3 linked regions of the Callithrix jacchus genome follow. The protein of the gene in region 1 purifies or fractionates together with the protein of each later gene. This does not show direct contact. Links are inferred from orthologs where the notes say so. Each region holds a gene or a part of one and is shown on either strand. Other genes may lie near its edges. The genes, in order: SAAL1, SLC27A2 and TMEM43.

Region 1 (10,257 bases):
TGACTCAGCTGGAGTCTACAGAAACTAGATTTGTTGAATAATGTCATCCCGAGAACTCTGACTTAGAGGGTAAGACTTGCTAACAAACTAGAAGATAAAGGGGTGCACATGTGATTAAAAGACTCGTATTTCTGCTTTGAGGCTAGTTCTCTTCTTCATGTGTAAAGTCCTGGGCAGAAAGTTTTTTAATGGAGGAAACCCAAGTGGTTACTGTGTTCTGGGAACACCCTGAAATCATATTCTAAATTTTGTGGGTATATTAGTTTTCTAGGCAAAGGGTTCATGGCTATTAATCAAAATCTCAAAGAAATTTGTTTCTAGGCAGTTTTTGTCAGAACTGGGGCCATAAGGGTTTTATTACAGGATTCAAGTACCTGGGTTTTTCAAAAATAGGTAACTCCTAGTTGTGGAGGGACTTTAAGATCCTAGTTCGGGTTATTTATTCCTCAGTAATTTATAGTCATTTGTGGAACAAACGACTCAGGATTGTGTTCAGTCTCTAATGTTCTCTATCAAAATCCTCTAGTGAGAAATGTTAACAAATGTTATAAATTCAGTTAAATGCTGATGGGATCTAAATTTGTTGAACCACTTTAGAATAGTTGGGCATTATCTGGTCACATTGGAACATATGCATGTGCTGTGACCAGCTCATAGTGGGCATATATGGTAAGAGAAACTGTGCACGTGTGCATCAGAATAACTCATACAAATATTATAGGACAGTTGCTTGAAATAGCCCCAATTGGAATCAATACGAATGTCCATTAACAATAGTCTGGAAAAATAAATTGTGTTACCTTCACACAATGGAATGCTCTGCAGCAGTGTATCAAAGAACAACAGCTACAGGAACAACATGGGTGGATCTTACATACATAGTTTTCAGCAAATAAATGAAGACTCAAAAGAATAAGTGTAATATTTCTTCAATATGCTGTCTCCCTTTCGTGAGCATCTTCATGAATCCAAATGACCTCCCAGATTATGTCTATTCAGCATGGCATCTTAATCCTTTTACCTGCGGTATAAGGCAACACCAAAATATATAAAATAATAAAACTATAGAGCAAAGTAAGGAAATGATTGCTGGAAAAGTCAGAATGGTCATCATTTCTAGCTGGGAAAGAGAATTGTGATTTGAAATGGACACATGGTGACTACAGAGATGCAGCTCTATTCTGTTTCTTGGAAACATGAGTGTTCGCTTTAGAATTATTCATTATCTATAGATTTGTATATTTTGGGCTTTTCTGTATACATGCTGTATTTCACAATAAAGATGTTCAAAAAATGAAATGAAAACTCTGATACTCCAAATGCAAGAAGTGAGGCATATCGGTTAACTTCTGTGTTTTTGTAGGCAGGTGTTATTGCACTGTTTGTATGATTCAGACCCACCTACTCTGCTGGAAACAAGCAGGTATGCGTTTCCTTTTATGAATTCTATAATGTTACTCATAAGAGTAGCTAAGAAAGTTAATTTTTTATTTTCAAATTTCCTTTACTGTTTTTGAAAAGTAGAAATTCAACCCACGTTTACCATATAGGTTGTTGCTTACTTGCCTTTCCCAGGCAGAAGTGGCCAGTGTCTGGGTTGAAAGGATCCGGGAACATCCGGCTATTTATGATAGCATTTGCTTCATTATGTCAAGTTCAACAAATGGTGAGTCATCATGTACTCTAGAAAAAAAAGTGTTTTAAATTTTACTTAATTTTTAGGAAACCATGTAACTATTTCTAGAAGCCTTAAAAAAAAAAAAAAAGGCTTGAGTGCAAGGTAATAAAGTTGTTTGTTTGTTTGAGACAGAATCTTGCTCTGTCACCTAGGTTGGAGTGCAGTAGTGTGATCATAGCCCACTGCAGCCTCTAACTCCTGAGCTCAAGGTATCCTTCTGTCAGCCTCCCCAGTAGCTGGGGCTCTAGTCATGCACCACCACGCTCAGCTCATTTTAGAATTTTGTGTAGAGACAGGGTATTGCTTTGTTGCCCAGGCTAGTCTCGAACTCGTGGGTTCAAGCAGTCACCCAGCCTCAGCCTCCCAAAGTGTTGCGATTATAGGTATAAGCCCAGCTTTTTGTTTGTTTGTTTTTTGGAGACAGTTTTTTGATTGAAGAAGATATAAAATTTCTTAAACTCCTGGGACACTGATAAATTCCTCATTTAAAAATAAGGAAATATAAGCAAATTTAAACATAGGAGATAAGTAAATCACCCTTGGAATAAGTACTACTTGAGCAAGGTTTAGCTTTCTTAGAATAGCTTTAGAATTTTGCTTAACCATCTGTTTTATTCTCTGCAGTTGACTTGCTGGTGAAGGTCGGGGAGGTTGTGGACAAGCTCTTTGATTTGGATGAGAAACTGATGTTGGAATGGGTCAGAAATGGGGCTACTCAGCCTCTAGACCAACCCCAGGAAGAGTCTGATGAGCAGCCAGTTTTTAGGCTTGTGCCTTGTATACTTGAGGCTGCCAAACAAGTACGGTAGGTGAGCTCTTTCATGCAAGTGTTCTGGGAAAATGCAATTGCTGGAAGCATTCTCAGACATAAGTCTTGTTAGATTCCTTGCAACAGACGGAAGTATACAGTCATTCTTTGTTACGTTGATTCACTACTAATATTTGTAATGCAACATGTTTGCTTTTTGCAAGAATGATAATGGTTACAAAGTTCCTGTTGTATTATCATTTAGCTATAGGCTGTTATTCAACATTAAATAAAGAGGGCCGGGTATGGTGGCTCACGCCTGTAATCCCAGCACTTTGGGAGGCCAAGGCGGGTGGATCACGAGGTCAAGAGATCGAGACCATCTGGTCAACATGGTGAATCCCTGTCTCTACTAAAAATACAAAAAATTAGCTGGGTACGGTGGCGCGTGCCTGTAATCCCAGCTACTCAGGAGGCTGAGGCAGGAGAATTGCCTGAACCGAGGAGGTGGAGATTGCAGTGAGCCAAGATCACGCCATTGCACTCCAGCCTGGGTAACAAGAGTGAAACTCTGTCTCAAAAAAAAAAAAAATAAATAAAGAGAAAACATTTTCATGTGGTTATTTTGCATTGAACATTTAACAGGTTCTTAGCGTTGCACATCATTTATTTATTTATTTATTTAGCTCCTTGTGTTTATATGCCAGTCTTCAATAAGTGATTGATTTTGGGACTCTGATGTCTTGCCAAGAGTGATTACTAGGTCTTACAGGTCATTAAAACTATTTATTGCTAATCACTAGAAAATTAATTTTGAAATTGATCTGCTTAGTGGTTTGCTTAGTGCATTCTTAGTGCTGAGTAAGCCACATCAAAACCTATTAATTTTGTGTCCTTTATCCAAGTGAGGATTAAATTCATCATCTTTCCCTAAATCTGCTTCATCAGTATTCTCAATATCAGTAAATGGTGCAATCATTATCCTATTTGGATAACATAGAAGAAATGGAGAAGCCATTACTGAATGCCCCAATATTGTCCCATTGTAGTCAACTTCCAACCCTTATTCCTGACTTTTCCTGGGATTTTATCCATGCCAAACAAGCCATTATTGTCTCTCATCTGGAGAACTGCCACATTCTTTTACTTGAATTCCCTGCCTCTATGCTTGCTTCTTCCCAAGCCTAGACTTAAAAGCTGTTTTTGTAAAGTACGCACTCATCTCACTCTCATGCTTCAGTCTTTTCAGTTGCCTTCCTTAGGATAAGGTCCAAAAAAAAACCCAAAAAAACAGAGCTTGAAATCTATATACATCACCTGGGTGAAGGGACCATCTGTATTCCCAAACCTCAGCATCATGCATGTAACAGCCCCTAACATGTACCTTCTGAATCGAAAATTTAAATAAATAGGTGAAAAAAGAATGAAATAAATGAAAAATTCTCAAAAAAAAAAAGTACAGCTTATAAGCTCAGTAGAATGCCTCTCTATCCTTATTCCTTGTACTCTGAATTTCAGTCATGTGAAGCTTGCTTCACTTCTTCAATTGAACCAGGCTCTCTTGTCGCCAGGCCCTGGCACAGTATGTCTCCTTCACCTCAAACACTTTGCACCTTCATGTTTCTGTGTAAATATCATTTTTCATAAGATGCCTTCCCTGACCTTGCAAACTAAGTCTCCTTGTTCTGAGAAGTTCCTAGTCCAATAGTGCTACATGCATACTACTTTATTATCATTACCCTGCTAGCAATCTTCTTTCCTTTTAGAGTATAGACTTTATGAAAATAGGGATAACATCTTATACATCTGTTTTCTTAGTTCCTAACATAGTGCCTGAAAGTAGTAAGTACTTAAATAAACATTTGCCAAACCATTGTTTTAATTGTTCACTGTCTTTCACTTGCTTGGTTGAAGAACTAAGATTTTGAGTTTCTAAACTGTTTAGATTTTTAAGAATCCAAACTGTTGATCGTAAGAATTAGACTTATGTGGTTTTAGTATTCTCAGCTAGAGAGCTAGTATAATCCTGAGACATTTTCAGAACATCATTGTTGATGCATGGTGCAGTGGACCTTACTCTCATACTCTAAAAATCTCAGTCATTTTTTGTTCTGACTATTCAAGCAAACCAAAATGATAAAGTATCAACTAGCAGGTTTCTGCATTGTTACTTTTATGAGATAAAGGCAAACAATTTTTTTACTTCTTGCCTGTGTGTGTTGATTATATTATATAATATTTGTGATTTTTTTTTTTTTTTTTGCTGTTTCCTCTATTAGAATATAAAAACTCTAATGAGCATAGAGACTTCATTCCTTTCCTTGTTTTATCCTCAGCACTTAGAGCAGTGGCTGGCACAGAGTAATAAATATTCATTGAATGGATGAATGATTGGTACAGTAAAGTTGTGGCTTTTACTTTCCTTTTTAGCTCTGAAAATCCAGAATGGCTTGATGTTTACATGCACATTTTACAATTGCTTACTACAGTGGATGATGGAATTCAAGCAATTGGTAAGATGGTTTTTCCGGATGCACTACAGTTACTCATTTAATTCTTTGCTGATTTTAAATTACTACTTTCTTTATTATCTTTATTAAGTACATTGTCCTGACACTGGAAAAGATATTTGGAATTTACTTTTCGACCTGGTCTGCCATGAGTTCTGCCAGTCTGATGATCCACCCATCATTCTTCAAGAACAGAAAACAGTGCTCGCCTCTGTTTTTTCTGTGTTGTCTGCCATCTATGCCTCACAGACTGAGCAAGAATATCTAAAGATAGAAAAAGGCAAGTACAATTTTTTAGGCTCATATTGTTTTTCATTTCATTTATTTCTCCCTTTTAAAAATGGTTTCATTCCCCTAATTATAGAAATGTTACATGCTAAACTTTAAAAATTTATTTTATTATCATATTTATTTACTTATTTTATTTTTATTTATTTTTATTTTTTGGAGATGGAGTCTTGCCTTGTTGCCTAGGCTGGAGTGCAGTGATGTGATTTCAGCTCACTGTAACTCTGCTTCCTGGGTTCAAGTGATTCTCGTGCCTCAGCCTCCCGAGTAGTTGGGATTACAGGCACACACACCATCATGCCTGGCTAATTTTTGTATTTTTTCAGGAGAGAGAGGTTTCACCATGTTGGCCAGGCTGGGCTCTAATTCCTGACCTTAAGTGATCCACCCACTTCGGCCTTCCAAAGTGCTGGGATTACAGGCATGAGCCAACTCACCTGGCTATTTACTTATTTTAAAAACAGAGTCTTACTTTGTTGCTGAGACTCTAGTGCAATGGCAGGATCATAGCTCACTGAAACCTTGAATTCCTGGGCTAAGGCAATTCTCTTACCTCAGCCTCCTGAGTAGCTGGGACTACAGGCACATGACACGTCACCTGGCTAATATTTAAATTTTTTTATAGAGACTGGGTCTTGCCATCTTGCCCAAGCTCGTCCCAAACTCCTGGGTTCAAATGACCCTCCTGCCTTGCCTGCCAAAGTGCTGGTATTATAGGCATGAGCCACTGTACCCTGCCTAAAAATGTATAAAATTTATAAAAAACATCAAGGAAACATGATGCTTGTAAATGTAGCATCCAATGCATGCATATGTATTTTTTAAATTCTGCTTTTTAGCCAACATTTCATTTAGAAAATAAAAATGAATATTTTCCTTTGCAAATACATATTCTTTCACAGAATGATTTTTATGACTACAATTAAATTCATGATTCATTTAGAATTTATTCTGGTGTCACAGGTGAAGTGTGGCTTTAATTTTTTCCCCCCTTTGATAACTTTGGTACTAGTGGTATCCGTTTTTTTCCAGAGGGCTACCCCATTATCTTACCATCATTTAGTGAATAATCCAGCTTGCCTACACTAATTTGAAATTTCATCATTATTATTTTTTAAATTCCCCTATATATTCTATTTAGTTCCATTGCTCTATTTACATATTAGTAGCCATATTGTTTTTAAATATTAAGGTTTTATGTTTTAATACCTAATAGAGTGAATCCCTCTTCATTCTGAGTTTTCAGAATATTTTTAACTATTCTTATCTCTAACTTAAGTTCCAAAAACAAAAACTCTGATATTTTTGTTCATATTGTGTTAATTTTATAAGAATATGTTATGCCTTTTCATTTGTTCAAGTCTTATTTTGTCCCTCAGTAATGGTTTCTTCATATAGATCTTGTATATTTCTTATTAATTTCATTTCTAGGTAGTTTATCCTTTGGGTTTACTATTGTCTATGACATGTTTCCTTCCACTGATTATTGTTGTTGGAATATATGAAGGCTATTGATTTCTGTATATTAACTTTGCCTCCTGTAACCTTACCAAATTCTTACTATTTTTAATAGTCATTCCAATAATAATCCTTGGGCTTTATCTGATAATGCTTTGGCTTAAATTAGATATATCTTATCACTTCTCTATCTGTGGTTTCTTTTTCTGTCTGGGTTGCCTAGTATCTCTGGTGTTTCTATCATCACTATTAAGTGATGATAGAAAACACCCTTCCCTTGTTCCTGATTTTATTAGGAATAATCCTAGAGTTCTGTTAAGCATTATTGGGTATAAGATACATGTTTTACAGCCAGATGCAGTGGCTCACACCTATAATCCCAGCACTTTGGGAGGCCGAGGTGGACAAATTACCTGAGGTGAGGAGTTGACGATCAGCCTGGCCAACCCTGTCTCTGCTCAAAAATACAAAAATTAGCCAGGCATGGTGGCACATGCCTGTAACCTCAGCTACTCGGGAGGCTGAGGCAGGAGAGTTACTTGAATCTGGGAGGCAGAGGCTGTAGTGAGCTAAGATCTCACCACTGTACTCCAGCCTGGGCAACAGAGCAAGACTCCGTCCCCTCAACAAAAAGATACATGTCTTACCATTTAAGGAAGTATTAATCTGTTTCTATTTTATTGAGTTTTTAATTAAAAAAATGTTGAATATTTTTAAGATTTTCATTTGTAGATATGTTACATCATTGAGAAGGTGGCATTGAGTACAGATCTTAGGAGAAGAATGGAGGGAGTCATGTGCATACTTGGGGAGAAAAACATTCCAGAGAGAAGGAATAGAAGGTACAAAAGCCCTGAACCAGAAGTATGCCTGGTGTCTTTAAGGAGGAACAGTGAGATACCAAATAGCTGAGGTGGATTTAGCAAAGTAGCACCAGAGAGGTAGAGTATGGAGGTTCCGATTTTGCCTTTTCCTCTGAATGAGTTAGGGAACCATGGTGGGTTTTAAGCAGATATTGCTTACACATGAGCTGACTTTAATAGGCTGCTGTTTTGATGAGAAATGAAGGGGGCCATGGATACAAAAGGGAGACGAGTTAGGAGGCTTTTAGAGTTTGGATAATTGACTCTAGCAAGAAATGTTATAACTTGGACTAAGATGGAACAGTTGAGGTGGAAGAAAAATCCTGTGAGCTAATTTTTTGTATTTGGTAAAATAGGGTTTCTCCAAGTTGCTCAGGCTGATCTCAAACTCCTGGGCTCAAGCTACTTGCCCATCTTGGCCTCTCAAAGTGCTGGGATTATAGTCATGAGCCACCAGGCCTGACTTCCGGGGCTCTTTTAATTGCTAACGTTTCATTGCTTTAGTTTTCAACTCAGTGTCACCTTTTCAGAGAGCTTTCCCTGCTAGACCATTATGTTATATTCCTCTTTTATTTCCTTCATAGAACTTACCAAAACCTGAAATGGTCTATTTTATTTACTTATTTGAAAGTATAAAAATATATGCCACTTACAGGCTGACATCTTGGTCGTGTTACCACTGTATCTGTAATACCTAAACTAATGATGTCTAGCACTAACTCAATACGTATGAATGAAAAACCAAACTTAACTGGCCAATTCAATGCTTCTTGATTTGTTTATACAGTAGATCTTCCTCTAATTGACAGCCTCATTCGGGTCTTACAAAATATGGAACAGTGTCAGAAGAAACCAGAGAACTCGGCAGAGTCTAACACAGACGAAACTAAAAAGACTGATTTAACCCAAGATGATTTCCACTTGAAAATCTTAAAGGATATTTTATGTGAATTTCTTTCTAATATTTTTCAGGCATTAACAAAGGTAGGAAAGAAGTACTGATGATGATGTCATAAGTGAAAGTGTGTACAGCTTAATGCTCCAAACTTTATTAATACTGCTATTATTTTGTTAATATAAAAGTAAAATTGAATTTGGGAAAATAAAGTAAAATTTTAATATCACCATGAGTTTATAATCTTAAAAACCGCTAGTAGATGTAGTTTGGTTAATTTATGTATGACAAACATATGTTTACATGCATATATATTTATAAATGCATTTTTGTATACTTTCACCCAGCATATACAGACTGCTCTTTTCCCTAACACTGTGTTATAAGCATTTTTCTTGATTCTAGATGAAAGACTTTTTACTGAGAACCAATTTAAACCTAATTTACCAAACAATCAGTTTTCAAAATTTACTACAAACTTCTCCTAAGGAATATTCTCCCTGAATATGTTCAGTGATTAACATTCTTCCTTTGACCATATTCTTTCTATCCATGTATTTGGAAAGAAACAGATTATGAATATGTTATTAATATATTCTATTATGTATTTTGAATATAAAATGTTATAAATATAACTATATTTACTCATACCCACTGAATTTTCAAAAGAGTATTCCCTAACAAGAACTTACTTTTGACCAGGTGCCCATAATCACAGTTCTTGGGAGGCTGAGACAGGCAGATCACTTGAGCCCAGGAGTTTGAGACCAGTTTGGGCAACACAGCAAAACCTCATCTCTACAAAAAAATACAAAAATTAGCCAGGCGTGGTGACACATGCCTGTGATCCCAGGCAGAGATGGAAGGATTGCTTGAGCCCAGGAGGTCAAGGCTGCAGTGAGCCAAGATTGTGCCATTACACTCCAACCTGAGTGGCAGAGTGAGACTCTATCTCAAACAAAACAAAACAAAACAAAAAGTTTCTCTTAATATGGAGATTTTTTTTTTTTTGAGGCGGAGTCTCACTTTGTCGCTAGGCTAGAGTGCAATGGTGTGATCTCGACTCACGGCCATCTCCGCCTCCTGGGTTAAAACGATTCTCCTGCCTCAGCCTCCTGAGTATCTGGGACTACCGGTGTGTGCTACCACACTCAGCTAAATTTTGTATTTTTAGTAGAGGTTGGGGTTTCACCATGTAGGCCAGGATGGTCTATATCTCTTAACCTAGTGATCTACCCGCTTTGGCCTCCCAGAGTGCTGGGATTACAGGCTTGAGGATTCCCTGGCCCAATTTTTTTTTTAATTATTATTATTAGTTGTCTTGCTTCTCTTTTCCAGATTTGTGGTTATTACCTTAGCAGGTTTTACAGAATACTGGATTCAACATTACAGATGTGAAGATGGCTAAGGCATAATGCCCATATTTTGTCAAAATGCTATTTACATGTGAAAATGTTGCTTTTACTTGACGCTTATTATTGGGTATTATAATTTTTATGTCAAGTAAAGTCCAACAGGTGATAAATTGTGCCTTATTTTGATTTGCATTTTAAATTAATGAGATTGAAATATTTGGATGTCATATATTGATTGTGTTTCCTGCTTTTTTATAATTTATCCAGTTTGATTATTTGTATAAATTTATTGGGTAAAAATGCATCTTTTCATATTCATTGCATGTATTTTTTTTCCTATTTTTTGCTGTTGCTTTTGTTTTTTGGAGCAAGGGACATCGATATTTCTTAACTTTTAAGTGGTAGGAACATCAAAGGAAGGTGGACTGAGAATGCACTAGGGCTGTCATGCAAATTCTTATA
Region 2 (10,257 bases), on another chromosome or scaffold:
CTACACACACACACACAATTACCATGTACATACTCCCCTTCGGGAAGTTACTAGAGGAAGTATTCCATCCAACCAAAAGAATGAAAAAGAAGGCAGAGGAAAACACAGGATCCAGGAAAGAGAGGCAAAGGGAACCCCCAGGCTTAGAAAATATCTAGTACAGATTGGAGCAAAGGAGACAAAGAAGCATAATGGAAAGTAGGCAATTCCATCAGCCAAATAGATGTCATCATGAGGAAAATTTTAGTTAGAGGCTGTTGGAGAGTAAGTTACAAATAGAAATTAAGGAAATTAAGCAAATGGGCAGAAAGGCAATTAATTCCAGGAGAAATAAAAACTTGTTCATAGCATATTACTTGGCTCCTCAGTGGTGTATTATGGACAGAATAATGTGAGCAGTGAATATTTATTTAACCAAAAATTGTGATACTGGAAAAAAGGGAGACAGAATGGAACTGAATCCTCATCTGTGACAATAGGAAATCTGAAATTGATAAAACAAGAGAAAGAAGTATACGCATTTAATTTAGAAATATGCAGATAGCAAGAAGAAGCTACAAGAATTAAGCGTCTGCTTCTGGGTGGTAAACTGGGGGTAAAGGGTGAGAACAGGTAAGTGGTGTGAATACAGCATTGTTTGTTTAAGTGCCTTTCAGGGCTATTTGATTCTTATACTATGTGTGTGGTACTCTCTTTGCTGTTTTTTTTCCTTTTTTCTTTATTTTTGGGGAGGTGGGATTTATTGGTGGGCATGAGTAAGGAGGGGGAGTACAGTGGACGTCCTCTCAAGTGCAGAGCTTTTTAAAAAAATTAAGGAAAAGAGCTCTCTGAAGTCACATTGATTCATATTTGAATCTTGGAGCAACTGTTTTGCTACCTTAGTGATCTTGGGAAAATTATTTTAAGCTTTTTGAGTCTCCATGTCCTCAATTGTAACATGAAGCTAACTTTATTAGCTACCACCTTTCATAGGATTCCTTGGAAACAGGTCAACTGCCTAACCCATAGAAAAGCCCTCAGTAGACGCTTTCTGCCTGTTCTAGTTACCTAACACCGTTCATTTCTCTCTGGACACCCTGATCTCTTGGTCTTCATCAGTCATTCAGCCCCAGTGTGAATTTAGTCCCCTTGTTTCCATATTTCGCCTTAGCTCTAATGCAAAGAAGGTTTTTATCTTGTTTTTAAAAAATAAGCAGGTGACCCTTGACCTAGAAATCAGTTCCTCTGTGGAGTGGCTCTGGTGATGGAGAAACACTGTTTCCCCTATGGGAAAGGAAAACTTCAGTCATACTCTTTAAGCCACTGGTGAGCAAAAGCTTAGGTGAGAACCAGACATCTTAGAAGGCTCCAGGATCTCCCATTTGTGCCCACAAACATTTCCAGCCTTAATCCCTTTTGCTAATATAATAAGATTCCTCAGCTGGATGATGAAAACTGAGCCCATGGTGTTGTGATTTTCAGCTCAGCTACCTGCCACTGGCAGGTGACAGCTGTACCTGTGAGGCTGGTCAGCTTCCCACACACCCAGCGTGCCTGTGGCCTCCTGCACCCTAAGCCCTGCCCTGACCCCACCACTAGTTATTGAACAGGGAATGAGGTTTCCTGGTGGAGATTATTTATTTTACTGCCAGGATTATGCTATATGCAAAGTACAGGTCCAGGCACTGAGGATGACATAGAGATACATGCATATTCAGCCTCAAAGGAGTTTGCCATTTAATGAGGAAGACAGATGATCACCATCCAAAAGACAAGGAAATAAACAAAGTGGTGGGAGAAGGACCACTGGTGGGCTGCATGTGAGATAAGGAAGACCTTGGGTCTACATGTGGGAATGCTGCTTTTGGAGCTTCTCATGTAAGCCTGGGGTCAAGTAAGCGCCCAGCTCAGCTTATTTTCTTTAAGCAAAAGGAAGTCTTGAAATACGTGTGATGTTTTATCCTTGGGACAGCAGTGGGAGGAGGTGGATACTGACAGTCTTACAGAAGAGGATAGTGCCTTGTGGGCAGGGTGACCGTACAATTCATTATCCAAACAGGGACACTTGAGGGTGAAGATAATGAAAGATAACCAGCACTCCAGGATAGGTATAGCCAGGGCTTCCCCTTGCAAACAAGACATATGATCTCCTGACTTATGGGAGCTTAGTAATTATAAAGCAGAGTAGAGCCAGTGACCTAGGGACCAGCAGAGAATAAATTCTGGCTGGGCACAGTGGCTTATGCCTGTAATTCCAGGACTTCGGGAGGCCAAGGCAGGAGGATAGCTTGAGGTCAGGAGTTCAAGATGAGCCTGGGCAACATAGTGAGACTTCATCTGTCCAAAATTAATAAATAAATTGGCCAGGCATGGTAGCACACATCTGTAGTCCTGGCCACTCATGAGACAGGCAGGAGGATCACGTGAGCCTGGGAGTTAGGGCTTCAGTGAGCCATAATTGTACCAGCCTGGGCAACAGAGCAAGACCCTGTCTAAAAAAAAAGAGAGAGAATAGATTCCTACTCATTCTGAATGTCTAGGTCTCCTGCAGGTTCAAAAGGCTTCTCAGGCAATTCTCCCAGACATCCTGGGTAAGAGCCGTTGGCAGGGGGCCCTGGTCTCTCTTGACACATTCCCTCCTCAGAATAACTGCTCAAGGAGCCCATGTTCACCAATGATCAGCATCAGTACCCCTCTCTGGTTAAGACTCCTGAAAGAGCCACGTATGTTCTGGCCAAGTTACTTAAAAATTAAATGTGTATTTTCTGCTTCCCTGTCCCCTTAGCTCCTCCTGCATGGAAACCAATTCAGTTTGTCTTGGTGTGATTTTTAATTGCCATGCCAAAGTCCCCAATCCTTATAGTTCTTTTCAAAGAGTAATTCTTATTTCAAAACCACTTCACAGTAATTTCACAGTGTAGGAAATAATGTAGAAAATGCTCTAAGCAATTGCTGTTTTATCAAAGAGATTAACAGTTGATATAAGAGGAGAGCCCCAATGACCTAGCACTTACCCTATATCATTCTGCATCCTGATAGAATAAAGGTCATAGAGTAACAGAATTTACAAGGTAAAATTATACCTACTTATTTTGTCTCTTCCACCAGCCTGTGATTTCCTGGAGGACGTAAAGTACATTATTAACATAAGATATCATTAAAACCATCACTCGGCTGGTCTAAAGGTAGTGAGTTATCTCAATTAATCGTTCACAGTTAGAGATCAAACTTCTGTTTTTTCCCCTCATCTCACTACTGTACTTGACTAGTCTTTTTTAACAATTGAAAATAATAAGATAAATAAAACCATCATTGACATGGACATATTTGTGGGTCTCCTAAATGAGTGTGGTTGAATGGAAGGCAGCCTGGTCATAGCCCCACCTCTGGGAGGAGGAGCCAGAAAGGCTCCTTTCAGTCCTTACACCCAAAACAGATTTTCCTCTGTGATCTTTATGTATAGCAAAGCATATTCCTCCCAGGCCACCTGAGGCAACTGGGAGGTGGCCTCCTCCTCCTGTTCCCCTTCGCATCCCACTGGGACAGTTTTGTTGTCTCGGTTCAGCTCTACCTGGTCTTACGAACTCTGGGGCCTACCTCTTAAACAGGGAAGGGCATGGTCAAGACTCTTCCCTCCAGTTCCCACAGCCTCCAACGTTGCTCTTTAATGACTTTGTGGAAAACGTTTCGCTCTCTCTCTCTTTCTCTCACTGGACTGTGTTTCCTGTTTTATTTTTCATTGTCATAAAAATCCTAGACACTGCTTAGGGTCCCACTGGTAGTAGATTGTGTCCATCTCTGACAGATCTTTCCCATGTGGCTCCTCCTTTCTAGAAATTCACTGATGTTCACCAGCCTCACCAAGAAAACTGTGAATACCATTATTCACATTATTCTAACTTTAGATAGGATGTGGATTAAATGTTGGCATCACCTGGTTCTGTCAGGTTGTCTCATCTGGCTCCTTAAAAATCAAAATGGGAAAATTCATGTTTTGGTTATTAAATCAGAGTTCCAGCTGTCAGACCATACTGCTTGTGCTAGAGGAACGGTGAATAATGTGTGTTGGTAGCAAGAAAAAGACAGACACTAAAGGGTATTTGTAACCAACATAACTATGTAATAAAGGCAATGTTAGTATAAATTAAATACATACAAAATAAAGGCAATTATTAATACGTAAGTATAGGCTCCAGAGATGTTTCAGTTTGGTCTCCTTCTTCTCCCCCTACCACAGAAACCAAATGACCGTGATCATAAAGTGAGATTGGCACTGGGAAATGGCTTACGAGGAGATGTGTGGAAACAATTTGTCAAGAGATTTGGGGACATTCACATCTATGAGTTCTATGCTGCCACTGAAGGCAATATTGGATTTCTGAATTATACGAGAAAAGTCGGTGCTATTGGAAGAGTAAACTACCTACAGAAAGTAAGTGCATTGAAATATGAGAGCATACATAGCCAGTTTTCAGAATACAGAGACTTCTTAAAAGCCAAGTCATGAAGATGTTGTTATCGGAAGTCAGGCAGCATCAGAGCCATGGCCCATTCCTATCACCAAGAGAGGTTTTGCTCATTCTCTGTGATGATGACCTTAAAAAATCAGATCCTCCAGTTAAAAACATCTCAATTTCTATTAAGAACAATCCATTGTGCCTTTGCCATCTGCAACTTAGGTGAAGTCTTCCTGATGCCATTTTTCCTCATATGTGATAAAACACCTGAAGTTTACAAATTCCATAAGCTTATCGTATGCTGTGAAACATAGTGTTTCCCTTTCATTGTGTCGTGCATCACAATCACCTGGGGAGCTTTTTTTGCACAGATGCAAGGCCCCACCCGCTAGGCTTTGGATTCAGTGGTTCTGAGAGGGAGCCCAGGCATCTCAGTGCTAGGATCTAGTAAACATTTATGTCCACTAATAATTCCACCAGAAAAATACTTCTTATTTTTAAGCCAGTTCACATAGCAGTCTCTTTTCCCTGTCAGTCGTTTTATTGCTTGTGGGTCTCTGTTGTCATCTTTGTACTCAAGCAGTCAGTCTTCCAGACAACCAACTATTCTGCAAATATCCAGAAATGTTTGGCAAATGCTGAGCCTCCACTGGCTTGAGAAATCACTGAGGTCATTACGCCTCTGGGCAGCTCCTCCCGTCTGGCCATGAAACAGCCACAATGAACAATGGAACTCTCACGCAACCTCTGTCCCCACGGACAGACCAACAGAGTACAGAGGACAGTAGTTCATGTGCATAAGAGGCCAAGCTCTGGAGAGCAAATCTCAGTGCCACCACACACTAGCTGAGTGACCTTGGGCAGGTCACGTATGCTCCTCAGGCCTAAATTTCATCATCTGTAAAACAGAGTTAACAAGAGAAAATATTGAACCCAGTTCCTAGCCCACACTCAATAAGGGAAAAGGATTGTTGAAAAGATTAAATAACTTATGAAAAGGCCCTTAGAGGCAATAGCCCAATCCCCGTCATTTAATAGCCTGGAATAATTGTTAGCCATAATGATGATGGTTACTCCATTTCTTAAATTCTGGTCTAATCTAAAGGTGTTCCCAAGTTCAAAGACCCTCTCTGGCAATGACAGCTCCACCTATGCCACACAGGTCCCTCCACAGTCCTCTAGACCTGCACTGTCCAAACAGTAGCCAGTAGCTACATGTGGCTATTTAAAGTTATATTAATAAGTGTTTAAATCCAGTTCCTCAGTCACACTAGCCACATTTCCAGTGCTAAATAGCCACGTGTGGTTAGTAACTACCCTATTGAGCAATGTAGACAGAGAACATTTCCATCATCACAGCAGATTTCTAGGCAGTGCTGCTGCAGACTGAGAATCGATCTCCTACTCCCCATTGGAACTGCTGCTGAGAGAGTCCGTTAGTGCTGTGTATTACCTGTTCTTTACTTTCTCATTCAGATTGCCATGTTTTATTGTCAGTTTTTCTTCTTTAAGCAAAACATTAAAGAAAAAAAACTTTAAAAAGCAGATGATGACATGCAATTGATGTGGAAAAAACATTCATTACAACCTATAAATTTTTTATATTCCTACAGATAAGATCTATATTTGTTAGCCATAAGTGAAACTTGTTTTTTTTTAATGAAGTTGCCTTCTAATACTAAAGTATATGATTGGTTGCTTCATCACATAAGCTTGAATATAAATTTGAAATAGACACAGTAATCATGGCTAATAATTACATCCAAATATTGTCATGTTTGCATTTTTCTTCCAACAAGGAAAATAATATGTTTATTATTGCTGTCACTGAATTGCTGAAAATTTAATTCTTATGCATTGAATTATGTGTTAAATGTGATAGAGTTTTAATACTTTTATAGTCATAGGCATGAAATAATTATGTTTTTGATTCTAAAATAGATAACATTACTGTAGAAACATGAAAAATCTAACAGTGGCATATTAAATATATAAGATTTAAAAAACCCATTTGTGATATATCCACCAAAAGACAAAAGAATGTTCATAACAGTTTTATTTATAATAGTCCAAAACTAGAAATAATCCAAATACCCATTAACAAGAAAATAGATAAATAAATCGTGGTATATTTATACAAGGGAAAGTTGCATGCAATAAAAAACACCAACATTGATGGATGAAAACTACAGACATATTTAGTGAAAGAAGCAGACACAAAAGCATACATTTATTTTATTTATCTGAACTTTAATTGGGCCGGGCACGGTGGCTCACGCCTATAATCCCAGCACTTTGGGAGGCCAAGGTGGGTGGATCACCTGAGGTCAGGAGTTCCAGACCAGCATGATCAACATGGAGAAACTTCATCTCTACTAAAAATACAAAATTAGCCAGGCATGGTGGCACATGCCTGTAGTCCCAGCTACTCGGGAGGCTGAGGCAGGAGAATCACTTGAATCCGGGAGGAGGAGGTTGCAGGGAGCCAAGATCTCACCATTTCACTCCAGCCTGGGCAACAAGAGTGAAACTCCATCTCAAAAAAAAAAAAAAAGATTAATTGACAGTGATATAAGTCAGAATAGTAGTTAACTTCACAAAAAAGGGCAGGGGGAAACTCTCTAGCTGAAATGAAAATATTTTCTCTCTCTCTCTGGGTAGCAGTTTTAAGGGTATATGCAAATGTAAAATTTCATCAACTTATACCCCTACGATGTACTTTATATACTTTATGTATGTTATACCACAATTTAAAAGAAAAAAATTATAAAAGATTTATACTCAAAATTATACATTTAATCTTGCTAGAAAGCCATAACTTATGACCTGATTAAGTATGACGTGGAGAAAGATGAACCCATCCGTGATGAAAATGGATATTGCATCAGAGTTCCCAAAGGTACAGTGGACTTCTGTTCAATCAATCTGTGCCCTTTCTTATCTTGACCAATTGACTTTTAAGGACTAACATCTTATTGCCACATGGTAAAATTTATCAGAGTGGGGAAAAGCCAGGGGGTCATTTAAGTACCCTCCAATATACAGGAATTCCAAAAGGTGCTAATTTACCACTGCATGTAACATAATTATAGTTTTAAACCTAGCTTACCAACTTCTTGTTTATGAGGTAATGTTCTGTGGGAAGGGATATGGAATTGTGGTTGCAAAACCATAGTTTCAGGTGGTCTTTACCTTTAAGCTTTAACTAGTGTGCATTTATGTAAGTCTGTGCAAATTATTACTCAGTATAAGATTAGCATTAAAAGAATTACAGGCAAGGTGTGGTGGCTCACACCTGTAATCTCAGCACTTATGAGGTTGAGGAGGATGGATCATTTGAGATCAGGAGTTCAAGACCAGCCTGGCAAACATGATGAAATCCTGTCTCTACTAAAAGTACAAAAAAGCACACACCTGTAACCCCAGCTACTTGGGAGGCTGAGGCAGAGGTTGCAGTGAGCCAAGACTGCACCACTGCACTCCAGCCTGGGCAACAGAGCAAGATTTAATCTAAAAAATAAAATAAAATAAAATAATTAGGCCATATGCAATACATATATAATAATGTACAATATATGTGTGTATGGTATATATATGTGTGTCTGTGATATATATGTACATACAACTCACATGTACACATGCATGGAAAATGATACTGCCTACAGCCGGTTTGTTGCCAGTGGGTTTATGGCATTAGTTTTAAGAGAAGGTTGATGTATACATTTGCTTACCTCTAGCACACAAAATAACAGTTTACTTTCTTCTATTTTAGGTGAAGTTGGACTTCTGGTTTGCAAAATCACACAACTTACACCATTTAGTGGCTATGCTGGGGGAAAGGCTCAGACAGAGAAGAAAAAACTGAGAGATGTCTTTAAGAAAGGAGATCTCTATTTCAACAGTGGAGATCTCTTAATGGTTGACCGTGAAAATTTCATCTATTTCCACGACAGAGTTGGAGATACATTCCGGTTGGTTTTTCTGAATCATTGAGCCAAAAACAAACACACGCACAGTTTGGCTTATTCCTAGATTGGAATCGCATTCCACTTTGGTTATGGTGCATTTCCTTCTCTATCTTTGGCACATAGGTCAAACTCCTGTGTTCGCAGAGAATGAGGAATGGAGTGCACGAAGTGTCACTCTGCAGGGCACGGTTAACTTGGCTGAGCAACACCAGATGAGAATAAGCCAGGAAACCTGTATCTGACTTTTGGAGATGAAAGTCCATTTAACTCCCCTTGTTTGTCCTGTATTATTACTGGTCACTCTTAGGACAGCCAAGGATTTTCACCTTTCCAATCATGGAGGTGTTAATATAAAATCAGATGCAAACTAATGGTAGTTTGCATCTGAACCCCTTCCCCCAACGCCTTTCATCCCCAACCAAATGGTTTCCCACAAAACCCCCAGGTCAGCACAAGGAAATCTGGAAGTCCTTCTAATAGACGATGAAATTAATTCCCTACCATAGCACAGTCCTCCAGCCTCAGACACAGCTTCCTTCCTATGTAAACTCCCTGAGGGCAGGCCCTGTGTCTGCCTGTTCACCCCCAGCTCCTACCATGGTACCTGACACACATAATCACTTTTTGCATGAATGAATGAGGAAGGGATGGAAGTTGTCTAACTGCAGTTAGTACAAAGACAGCAGAGTGGAATGAGGAGAACCAGGCTCACCTCTCCCCCCTGACCAGCAGTGGTATCAAGACAGGTAACCGTTCTGGATCCCAGTTCTTTTGCCCTTGAGATGAGGGTCATGATGATTCTCAGGGTCCTTCCATCTCTACTATTGCACATCTTAAGATCCATATCACTTTATGTCATCTCCATGTTATTAGAAAGATGCTTCTGGGAGAACTAAAGAATTTTTAATGGTCTGGGCTTGGTGGCTCATGCCTGTAATCTGTTACTAGGGAGGCTGTGGCAGGAGAATCACCTGAACCAGGGAGACAGAGGTTGCACTGAGCCGAGATTTTGACTCTGCACTCCAGCCTGGGCAACAGTGAGACTCCACCTCAAAAAAAAATAATAAAATAAAATGAATTTTTAATGGAAACAAAATTTAACTCTTTATTAAGTGAAAAATATCACCTGGTTGGGCTTTAACATTATAATCTCCCTGTAACTAAAGTATGATTGTTTTTTCCTTTCTTGTTGCCATGAGACCCTGAAATACAAATATGAAGTTCTATTAAAGAGAACTTCACAAACTGAATTAAATAGCAACTTGAGTTAGCAAGTGAAAAATTGAGAGGCCTAAACACAGCAGAAAATAGTTGAGATTTCTTTCTGATTTCCAGTGCCTTTCTTAGCCAGGGCTCTATTTCAATATTAGAACATTATTCTGTATATTGTGTTTCATGTGGTGAGATTGAAATTCCAAATTTTGTTATCTAGGTCTATACTTTTCACTTTTATGTCTCAGGCAAGATACCCCAGCCAGGACTAAGTTGGGGAGTTTGAGGGGCCAAGGTGAGGAAGAGATCAGCACCCTGCAGAAATCTGCAGGAAACACCTGCTGTCCATCATTACAACGTCTGCCAGAAACCAACAATGACCTCTGCTAACTTTGTCCTTTCTTCCAGGTGGAAAGGGGAAAACGTGGCCACCACTGAAGTTGCTGATATAATAGGACTGCTTGATTTTGTCCAAGAAGTGAATGTTTATGGAGTGCATGTGCCAGGTATACACAAAATATAATCTGTGCCTAAACCCATAGAGTAACTGAACATAATTTTAACCTCAAGGCAAAGTTTGTCTTGCTTTCTTCTGCCATCCAGAGTTAAACAGCTCTTTCAGCTGCTGGGGAGTAAGGAGC
Region 3 (10,257 bases), on another chromosome or scaffold:
GCATTCGGCTTGCCAATATTTTATTGAAGATTTTTGCATCTATGTTCATCATGGATATTGGCCTGAAGTTTTCTTTTCTTGTTGGGTCTCTGCCGGGTTTTGGTATCAGGATGATGTTGGTCTCGTAAAATGATTTGGGAAGTATTCCCTCTTTTTGGATTGTTTGAAATAGTTTTAGAAGGAATGGTACCAGCTCCTCTTTGTGTGTCTGGTAGAATTCGGCTGTGAACCCGTCTGGACCTGGGCTTTTTTTGTGTGGTAGGCTCTTAATTGCTGCCTCGACTTCTGCCCTTGTTATTGGTCTATTCATAGTTTCAGCTTCCTCCTGGTTTAGGCTTGGGAGGACACAGGAGTCCAGGAATTTATCCATTTCTTCCAGGTTTACTAGTTTATGTGCATAGAGTTGTTTGTAATATTCTCTGATGATGGTTTGAATTTCTGTGGAATCTGTGGTGATTTCCCCTTTATCATTTTTTATTGCATCTATTTGGTTGTTCTCTCTTTTATTTTTAATCAATCTGGCTAGTGGTCTGTCTATTTTGTTGATCTTTCCAAAAAACCAGCTCTTGGATTTATTGATTTTTTGAAGGGTTTTTCGTATCTCAATCTCCTTCAGTTCAGCTCTGATCTTAGTTATTTCTTGTCTTCTGCTGGGTTTTGAGTTTTTTTGATCTTGCTCCTCTAGCTCTTTCAATTTTGACGATAGGGTGTCAATTTTGGATCTCTCCATTCTCCTCATATGGGCACTTATTGCTATATACTTTCCTCTAGAGACTGCTTTAAATGTGTCCCAGAGGTTCTGGCATGTTGTGTCTTCGTTCTCATTGGTTTCGAAGAACTTCTTTATTTCTGACTTCATTTCACTGTTTACCCAGTCAACATTCAAGAGCCAGTTGTTCAGTTTCCATGAAGCTGTGTGGTTCTGGGTTGGTTTCTGTATTCTGAGTTCTAACTTGATTGCACTATGGTCTGAGAGGCTGTTTGTTATGATTTCAGTTGTTTTGCATTTGTTGAGCAGTGCTTTACTTCCAATTATGTGGTCAATTTTTGAGTAGGTGTGATGTGGTGCTGAGAAGAATGTATATTCTGTGGATTTGGGGTAGAGAGTTCTGTAAATGTCTATCAGGTTTGCTTGCTCCAGGTCTGAGTTCAAGCCCTGGATATCCTTGTTGATTTTCTGTCTGGTTGATCTGTCTAATATTGACAGTGGAGTGTTAAAGTCTCCCACTATTATTGTGTGGGAGTCTAAGTCTCTTTGTAAGTCATTAAGAACTTGCCTTATGTATCTGGGTGCTCCTGCATTGGGTCCATATATGTTTAGGATCGTTAGCTCTTCTTGTTGTATCGATCCTTTTACCAGTATGTAATGGCCTTCTTTGTCTCTTGATCTTTGTTGCTTTAAAGTCTATTTTATCAGAGATGAGAATTGCAACTCCTGCTTTTTTTTGCTCTCCATTTGCTTGGTAAATCTTCCTCCATCCCTTTATTTTGAGCCTTTGTGTATCCTTGCATGTGAGATGGGTTTCCTGGATACAGCACACTGATGGGTTTTGGATTTTTATCCAATTTGCCAGTCTCTGTCTTTTGATTGGTGCATTTAGTCCATTTACATTTAGGGTTAATATTGTTATGTGTGAATTTGATACTGCCATTTTGATACTAAGTGGCTGTTTTGCCTGTTAGTTGTTGTAGAATCTTCATTATGTCGATGCTCTTTAACTTTTAGTGTGATTTTGGAATGGCTGGTACTGGTTGTTCCTTTCTATGTGTAGTGCCTCTTTTAGGAGCTCTTGTAAAGCAGGCCTGGTGGTGACAAAATCTCTGAGTACTTGCTTGTTCGCAAAGGATTTTATTTTTCCTTCACTTCTGAAGCTCAATTTGGCTGGATATGAAATTCTGGGTTGAAAGTTCTTTTCTTTAAGAATGTTGAATATTGGCCCCCACTCTCTTCTGGCTTGTAGTGTTTCTGCCGAGAGATCTGCTGTGAGTCTGATGGGCTTCCTTTTGTGGGTAACTCGACCTTTCTCTCTGGCTGCCCTTAGTATTTTCTCCTTTATTTCAACCTTGTTGAATCTGACGATTATGTGCCTTGGGGTTGCTCTTCTTGCAGAATATCTTTGTGGTGTTCTCTGTATTTCCTGCATTTGAGTGTTGGCCTGTCTTGCTAGGTGGGGGAAGTTTTCCTGGATGATGTCCTGAAGAGTATTTTCCAGCTTGGATTCATTCTGTTCGTCCCCTTCTGGTACACCTATCAAACGTAGATTAGGTCTTTTCACACAGTCCCACATTTCTTGGAGACTTTGTTCATTCCTTTTTGCGCTTTTTTCTCTAATCTTGGTTTCTCGTTTTATTTCATTGAGTTGGTCTTCGACTTCAGATATTCTTTCTTCTGCTTGGTCAATTCGGCTATTGAAACTTGTGCATGCTTCACGAAGTTCTCGTATTGTGTTTTTCAGCTCCTTTAATTCATTCATATTCCTCTCTAAGTTATCCATTCTTGTTATCATTTCCTCATATCTTTTAAGTTCCTTAGTTTCTTTGCATTGATTTAATACATGTTCTTTTAGTTCACGAAAGTTTCTCATTATCCACCTTCTGAAGTCTAATTCCATCATTTCGTCACAGTCATTCTCCATCCAGCTTTGCTCCCTAGCTGGTGAGGAGTTTTGGTCCTTTCTAGGAGGCGAGGTGCTCTGGTTTCGGGTGTTTTCCTCCTTTTTTCGCTGGTTTCTTCCCATCTTTGTGGGTTTATCCGCTTGTCATCTACGTAGTTGCTGACTTTTTGATTGGGTCTCTGAGTGGACACCCAGATTGTTGATGATGAAGTATTTCTGTTACTTGGTTTTCCTTCTACCAGCCTAGCCCCTTCGCTGTACGACTGCTGAGGTCCACTCCAGGCCCTGCTTGTCTGGGGTGCACCTCTAGCAGCTGTGGCACAGTGAGGGATGCTACCCGTTTCTTTTTCTGCTATCTTTGTCCCAGGATGATGCCTGCCAAATGTCAGTCTTTTGGATATAGAGGGGTCAGGGAGCTGCTTGAGGAGACAGTCTGTGTACTTTTTTGGAGCTCAATTGCTGAGCTGTGAGCTCTGTTGTTCATTCAGGGCTGTTAGGCTGCTATGTTTGATTCTGCTGCAACAGAGCTCATTAAAAAAAACCCTTTTTTTTCTCAAATGCTCTGTGTTGGGGGGTTCGGGCTTTATTTTTCGATGTCCGATGAGGTGTCCTGCCCAGCTAGAAGGCAGACTAGCCACTGTTTGGCTGCCGAGGCTCCGCCCTGCTGTTGTGTGATTCGCCCTGTTCCTGCAGGCTCTGCTGTGGTCTCTGCCATGCCCTGCAGCGGAGTCTCTTCGTTGTAGCGTGTTGCCTCAGCAATGGCAGGCTGCGTCAGCAGTGGGCGTGTATCTCAGTAGGGACGGGTTGCCTCGGCAACGGCTGGCTGCGTCAGCAGTGGCGTGTATCTCAGTTGGGGCGCGTTGCCTCGGTAGTGGTGGACGCCCCTCCCCCACAGAGCGTCTCGGACCATCTGCTCGGGATAGTTTGAAATCGCAGTTTTGTTTGTCCCACTGGGTGTCCCAAACGATCTGTCCCTGCAATCCCCTGGGCTTGCCTACTGTCCAAGTCTCGTTCAGTCTCAAGTCCAGCCCTCTCAAGTCTCAGGTTGCCGGTTCAACAGAGCACCCGGACAAGCGCGCCCTGTGGGGATTGCTGGGTAGGGCCGGCTGCCGCCGCCCCAGCTGCCGGCTTTGCCAGGCAGACCTACTGCCTGGCATCCCGTGTCTTTTTTATACTTGGGAGTTTCCCCGTTCTGTGGGCAACAAAGATCAGTCTGGAAATGTAGCTCCGACTCACTGTTTGCGGATTCAACGAGAGCTCCAATCCTGGGTTGTTCTCACAGCGCCATCTTGAGTCCTCCCCCGAGGTCAGCATTTAAACGGAATCCTCCATCTTACCTTTATGACCTTGGGCAGACCAGTTCCTTTCTGGAGCCTCAGTTTCCTCCTGTCTGTCTGAGGGCCCTTCTTTGGATCTCTGACGTCTTCAGATTCCAGTTCACTCTATGTCTGGAATGCTCCAGACTCAGACAGACTCAGTGTGGAGAAACCTGCAGGGCGGGTGGGGTGAGTTGGGAGCGCAGCAGGGAAGCACACACTCCCCTATACGTTTGATAAATACTGACTACCATGTGTAAGACTCCATAGCAACAGAGATAGGCTTAGAGCAATAGCTCAGAGCCCAGGCTCTGGGCCTAGATGGTTATGAGTTCAAATCCTGGTTCTGGCACTTTTTACTTGGGGTGAGTTTCTTAACTCCCTGAGCCTCAGTGACCCTATAGGTAAAATGAAGTTAAGAAGAATACCTACCGTACGGGGTGGGCATGAGCACTTCATGAGATAACACATAGGCAATGCTCAGAAACATGAACTTTGCTGATCATAAGGGGTAAGTAGCAGTGCCGTATGGAACAGACCAGGATGAGTCCCAATGGTGGCTTGCAGGATGTGCTGCAGGCATGGTGGGGCACCAGGACTGGCTCTGCAAACCCAGTGATTCCAGACCACTGGTGACCTCCTGGGAACTGAGCGAAGATTCCCTGAGTGGACATGAGCTATGGAACGCCAACCTGGAGAGGTCACACAAGGCAAGAATAGGGTAATTCCTCATGAATTTAGCTGGAACCTAGGCTTTATCCTGTTGAACCAATAGTTTGTCAGATTCTTGAGGAGAGGCCAATGCTTAGGCTAATTTATTCCCTATAGTACCTGCTGCTTCAGTGCTGGGCAGATAAATAATTAGTAACATCTTACTGCATGAACGAATAAACACCTCTAGGAATGGCTGAGAGGTCCAAACAGGCACCCACAGGAGGCTCCACCTACAGACTCTTGTGTGAGTATGTAGGACCCAGGGTATTTCTAGCATTCCAGGCAAATGTCTTTATACTGGCCTCAGACTACTATCCACATATAGTATTAAAGTTTACAGAGCACTGCCATGCCCTCTCCCCTGCAGCGGGGTAGAGTGGGTGGCTCAGTGTGTCCAGCCATGCAGCTCATAGCAGAGGCTCCCGTGCTCCCTTAGCTCTCAGAACAAGGCTCTTTGCCTTCTGCTGCACTGACTCTCTCCCCTCCTCACGCACGAAGCAACAGAGGCCCATCCTTACCTAGGGACAGGAGTGATCTGCTGAGCTGGTGAGATGTAGAGCGGGTCACACCGCATTGCCTTTCTCCTTTCCACAGTGGACTGGTTTCCTGTCTTCCGAGACCTGGTCAACATTGGCCTGAAAGCCTTTGCCTTCTGCATGGCCACCTCACTGACCCTGCTGACTGTGGCGGCTGGCTGGCTCTTCTACCGGCCCCTGTGGGCCCTCCTCATCGCCAGTCTAGCCCTGGTGCCCATCATTGTTGCTCGGACACGAGTGCCGGCCAAAAAGCTGGAGTGAAAAGACCTGGCACCCACTCGACACCTGCGTGAGCTCTAGGATCCAGGTCTCCCTCACCCCTGACCCAGCTCCATGCCAGAGCAGGAGCTTGGAGCAGTTTTGGACTCTGCACCCCCTCTCCTCTCCAGGGGCCAGACTTGACAGCACATGCAACGGGTTGGTCTTCCCCATGCCCCTTCTTGCCAGTAAGCAGCTTGTAAATGGCAACCTGACAGCTTCTCCTACTGTTTCCTTCCTCTCTCCTGGACTGAGTGGGTACGGCTGGCCACCCAGCCCATCGGCAGCTGACGACGCAGACGCTCCACAGAGGCCTGCTGATAAAGGGCTCAGCCTTGCTATATGCTGCTTCTCATCACTGCACACGGTGCCAGGCTTTGCCACCACCACCAAGCACATCTGTGATCCTGAGGGGTGGCCATTTGTCATTACTGCTGAGTCCTGGGTCACCAGCAGACACACTGGGCATGGACCCCACAAAGCAGGCACACCGAAAATCTAGTCTGTGGCCAGAACCTGATTTTTTACTTAAACACTGAAGATGTTCCAAGGAGAAAAGCTGGACATATGTTGGGCTTTACATGTACCTTATGGCTTGGTAGAATCTGTAGTGTGTGGGGTCTCTGAAGGCCCTACTTAAGTTTTTCTTCATTTTGCTGCTTCCTGTGTACTTTCCTACCGCAAGAGGGAGTTTTCTGAAAGATTTAAAAAAAAAAAAACCACACACACAGACCTGAATGATTAATATTTCAGACTGTTACGGGAAACACCTTTTAGTCTGTCAGTTGAATTCAGAGCACTGAAAGGTGTTAAATTGGGGTGTGTAGTTTGATAAAAAGTTACCTCTGTCAGTATTTTGTGTCACTGAGAAGCTTTACAAGGGATGCTTTTGAAACAACCATTAGCAAAAGGATTTGTTCCCTCTGGGAAGAGAAGGTGGAGAAAGCACTTGCTTTCGTCCTCTGGCATCGGAAACTCCCCTGTGCACTTCAAGATGATTTAAAAGATTAAAGAAAATATTAAGAGAAAAGTTGGAATCTTTATACTAAATGAATGGGCTCCTTCATAGCCCAGTCAACCACAATAAAGAACTGGGGCCTGAGGCTTGCTATAGAATGCCCACACCTGCCTGGCTGATTTCACTGGGAGTGCTTTGGGCACGGGCACCTGGGCCTCCTATCTTTGCTTCTGAGTGGTTCTTTTGCGGGTTGTGTCCATAGCTTTAGTCATCCTAAATAAAATCCACCCACACCTAAGTCACAGAATTTCTGTTTCCCAACTACTCTCACACCCTTTTAAAGTATGCTGTAACCAGGATGATGTCTTAAATGATTTGTATACCTTCTCTCACATTCAGAAACTTTTGCACCTGCTGGGAATAACTGCTTTAGCAAGTTAAGTATTTGGTAGATAAATAAGGAAGGGGTCAGAACTTCTGAAACCAGAGATCTGTAGTCATCTCTCTTGGCCTGGGGTGCCTGTACTATAAATGAGTTTCTTTACATGAAAAACACAGCCAGCCCAAGATGACTTATCTGGGTTTGGGATTGAATAGTATTCACTAACTGCTTATAACATGAGCAATTTCATCAAATCCCCAAAATCTTAAAGGATGGTTCTGGAAAACACACAGTATAACTAGATGGTGGCTAAATGCAAAATCCTTGGGATTTGGTTTTTTTCTAATAAGGATTTTAAGTTACTGCCAACTTCAAAAGTGTTCTTAGAGAGAAAAATGTTAAGAAAAATGTGAAAGCTTTGAAAACCAAATTTGTATTATCTTTGTATTTTTGATGAAAAATTTTGAAATAAATTTCTAAGTATCTTCTGGTATGGGACCCTGACATCCTGTTTTATTTTTATTTTTTGGCATTCTTTCTGAAATTCCTATAAATAATTCAGCCATAGGATTTATTGAGAACTGAATTTTGTGGAACTTTGTTCTGAGTTTTCAGTGGTTAAAATAGGTTTTTTTTTTTTTTTTTTTTTTTTAAGGGCAACTCTATTCCTACCACTCAGGCCTTCCATACAGAAGCCCACTTTGTTTTGGCTTGATTTAAAGTGAATGACTCAGGCTTCATGCATCTTCAGAATGTGCCAGAAGAGGTGGAAGGGGCAACAGTGTGCTGCACAGCCAAAGGCATCCTGAGTTGGCACACAGACCTGAGTTCTGAGCCAAAGTTTGCTACAAACTGGTTGTGATGCTGGGCAAATCAAAGATCTGAGTCTGTTCCCTCACTGGTACAATGGGAACAGCACTTGTCCACCTCACAAGATTATTGTGAGGGCCAAATGAGATAAAGCCCATAGAATGCCTGACTCATGGCATTAATTTTTCATTCCTCTATTTCCTGTTCTGAAGCAATGGCTGCTAACTGCCCACTCTGATGCTAGCAGTTTGAGTGCTTTATTTTTCATAAGCAGGTGAGTGGTAACTTTCTCAAACCTCTTCTGTTTCTCATAACCTACTGTTTCAATAATGCCTCCTAGTAGCTGACATATGCCTGAAGAAGTTATTTCTGCAGAGACATGGCAATGCCATCGTCTCAAAACCCCAGAAAGACAAGCATGGTGGTGCATGCCCATGGTCCCAGCTACTCAGGAGGCTGAGGTGAGAGGATTGATTGCTTGAGGCCCAGAGGTGGAGGCTGCAGTCAGCTGAGATCACGCCACTGCACTACAGCCTGGGCAGCAGAGTAAAACCCTGTCTCAAAAAATTAAAAAAAAAAAAAAAAAAAAAGTGTGAGCCAGTTTCCATAGCAACCCCGGTCTGTTTCTCAACAAGAAGCTCCAGCCAGCCTCTTGCCACATATGAGTCATAACCCAAGTGTTTTGTTTGTTTCCCTTGGATAAAACTGACTCATTTTTAACGGCTCCTCTCAAAGATTAAGTAATATCTCTTCACTAAACACAGAAAAATTCCATGTGTAATGAGTTCCCAGCCTACATGAAAACAAGATTCTTTCATGCTGTCTCAACATACAAACAAACTGCTCTGTCACCTGGATGTTCTTTCTGATGTAAATCTGAAAGAAGCTGGGCACAGGCGGTGGTGTGTGGGTGCCTGCAGTCCTGAGAAGCTGGGACTGTTTGTCGAACAATGCCTTTCTACTGCACACGGCGGCTGTGAGGGCAACTGAGGTAAAGCCCTCAGTAGAACCACTAATGCCCAGGAGTCCAGCCTGGGCAACATGGTAAGACGCCATCTTTTAAAAGAAAATCTGAAAGCAAATATAGAGCCAAGTCTTTAGATAAATGCTTTATTTTTTTCTTAAAGTGTTACAAAAGTTATTTCTCCTGAGTATCTATAGTACTGAGAGCTTTATTACATTTATCTAGTAATGAACAGAATCTAGTTTAACACTGATCTATTTTACTAACATTTCCATAATTTTCAATTGGTGTTTTTCCTTCCTTTCCTGATTTTACCTTTTTTTTAGGCTTCTGCCACCACAAAATGTTACTTGGAAAACTAGATCCCAGCAATTCCATAATCTGAGATGACCTGTACTTCTCCTCTGCTCTCCCCACTACTGCAAGGAGGCAGAAAAGGCAGCATTAGTAAGCCTGACTCAGGGGAAGGTAAGCAGCCTGCAGAGAAAGGGTCCTACGTCTGCAAATGAGGCAAGTGAATTTGTCAGACAGATGAAGACAACTGGGAGAAAGAATCAGCACATTCATGGATGCACCACCATCCAGAAATCTCTCGGTCACTTCCCTACAAAAACTGATGTTTCCAATGAGAAGAACAGGTCTAGGAGGCAGGAGGGTGTCTCCCGGCAAAGTGTTCTGTAGCTCAGAGTGAGTGGACTTTGGTAACAAAAAGCTTTGAAGGCTTCACCCTGGGTGAATCTGACAAGGGCTGGGGCCAGGCTGGACCTGTAGCATCTCCTCAGCTTGGCCTCCTCTCCCTTGGCCCCGCCTCAGTGCATGCTGCCTCAGTTTCCCTTCTCAGCAGAAATGCCCCCATCACCAGGGACTGGGCATGCCCAGGGCAGGTATGGGGCCAGTAGTGGGGCAGCAACAAGTAGTGGATGCCCCTATAGGGGGTGCTCAGCTCACAGCTTCTCAAATGGGAACAGGTGGGAAGCTGCTGCCTTCCTTTCCCTTTTGGTCTTCTTGGGCCCACCCTTCAGCTTCTGCTTTTCTTCATCTTCTCGGTTTTGAGGCCAGGAAGCAGCGAGTATCCTGGCTGCTTCTGCTTGAGAACTGGTACCCTCCTCTTCATCAGAAGAGAGTCCACCTCCTGCATCTGAATGGGAAGCTGCTGCCTCACTCTAGACAGGGGGCAGTGGTGGAAGGACACAGGCCAGGGTCAGTAATCAGATATAAGGAAGCACCATGAAGAGGCAGCAAGTTCTCAGCCTGCCCTAAGCTGTGTGACTCTGGGAGGACGGTGAGGGAAGAGAGCCCAGACCCTTCTTACTGAGCCTTCCTCAGCCTGGGGTGAATCCAAGCAGACACCAGAGCACCTGCTATGAGCTGAGTGCTAGGGAACACAAGAATGGCCGGGCGAAGCTGCCCACAAGGAGCACACCACCGTATCTGGAGATGCCTGTGATCCGTGCCTTGCATTTGCTACCTCATTTCTGGACAAAAGTACATGATGACTTGAATAGGCCAGATGCACAGTTCAGCCCTCGGAGTCCTAAGATCTGAGGTGACACTCCCTGCCAGCTGGGATGATTGGGGAGGGTTTGGATGGAGAGGGCGGCAAGGAGCTAGTCAGAACATAAAGCCAAGGGCCTTTTCTCCACCAAAGGGATTGGAATGAGAAGCGTGATGAAAAAACGTTTAAAGGCAAACAGGCAGCACAGA

Evidence for each region.
Region 2: the proteins of SAAL1 (region 1) and SLC27A2 purify together in Homo sapiens (co-immunoprecipitation; 3 studies listed by BioGRID and IntAct, with this or other methods). This does not show direct contact. The link is inferred for Callithrix jacchus from reciprocal best matches to the Homo sapiens genes SAAL1 and SLC27A2.
Region 3: the proteins of SAAL1 (region 1) and TMEM43 purify together in Homo sapiens (affinity purification with mass spectrometry; 3 studies listed by BioGRID and IntAct, with this or other methods). This does not show direct contact. The link is inferred for Callithrix jacchus from reciprocal best matches to the Homo sapiens genes SAAL1 and TMEM43.

The regions. Positions count from the first base shown.
Region 1 is NC_133511.1:84,114,722-84,124,978, reverse strand, and holds part of SAAL1 (protein SAAL1), read left to right. Parts: intron 1-1,363; coding exon 1,364-1,423; intron 1,424-1,550; coding exon 1,551-1,666; intron 1,667-2,302; coding exon 2,303-2,483; intron 2,484-4,856; coding exon 4,857-4,939; intron 4,940-5,027; coding exon 5,028-5,216; intron 5,217-8,332; coding exon 8,333-8,529; intron 8,530-10,257. UniProt on the Homo sapiens protein: Plays a role in promoting the proliferation of synovial fibroblasts in response to pro-inflammatory stimuli.
Region 2 is NC_133509.1:37,861,109-37,871,365, forward strand, and holds part of SLC27A2 (long-chain fatty acid transport protein 2), read left to right. Parts: intron 1-4,216; coding exon 4,217-4,411; intron 4,412-7,244; coding exon 7,245-7,335; intron 7,336-8,208; coding exon 8,209-8,407; intron 8,408-10,024; coding exon 10,025-10,122; intron 10,123-10,257. UniProt on the Homo sapiens protein: Mediates the import of long-chain fatty acids (LCFA) into the cell by facilitating their transport across cell membranes, playing an important role in hepatic fatty acid uptake.
Region 3 is NC_133516.1:71,115,430-71,125,686, forward strand, and holds the end of TMEM43 (transmembrane protein 43), read left to right. Parts: intron 1-5,239; coding exon 5,240-5,442; 3' UTR 5,443-7,277; downstream 7,278-10,257. Other genes in the region: XPC (DNA repair protein complementing XP-C cells), read right to left, coding at 9,498-9,716. UniProt on the Homo sapiens protein: May have an important role in maintaining nuclear envelope structure by organizing protein complexes at the inner nuclear membrane. Required for retaining emerin at the inner nuclear membrane.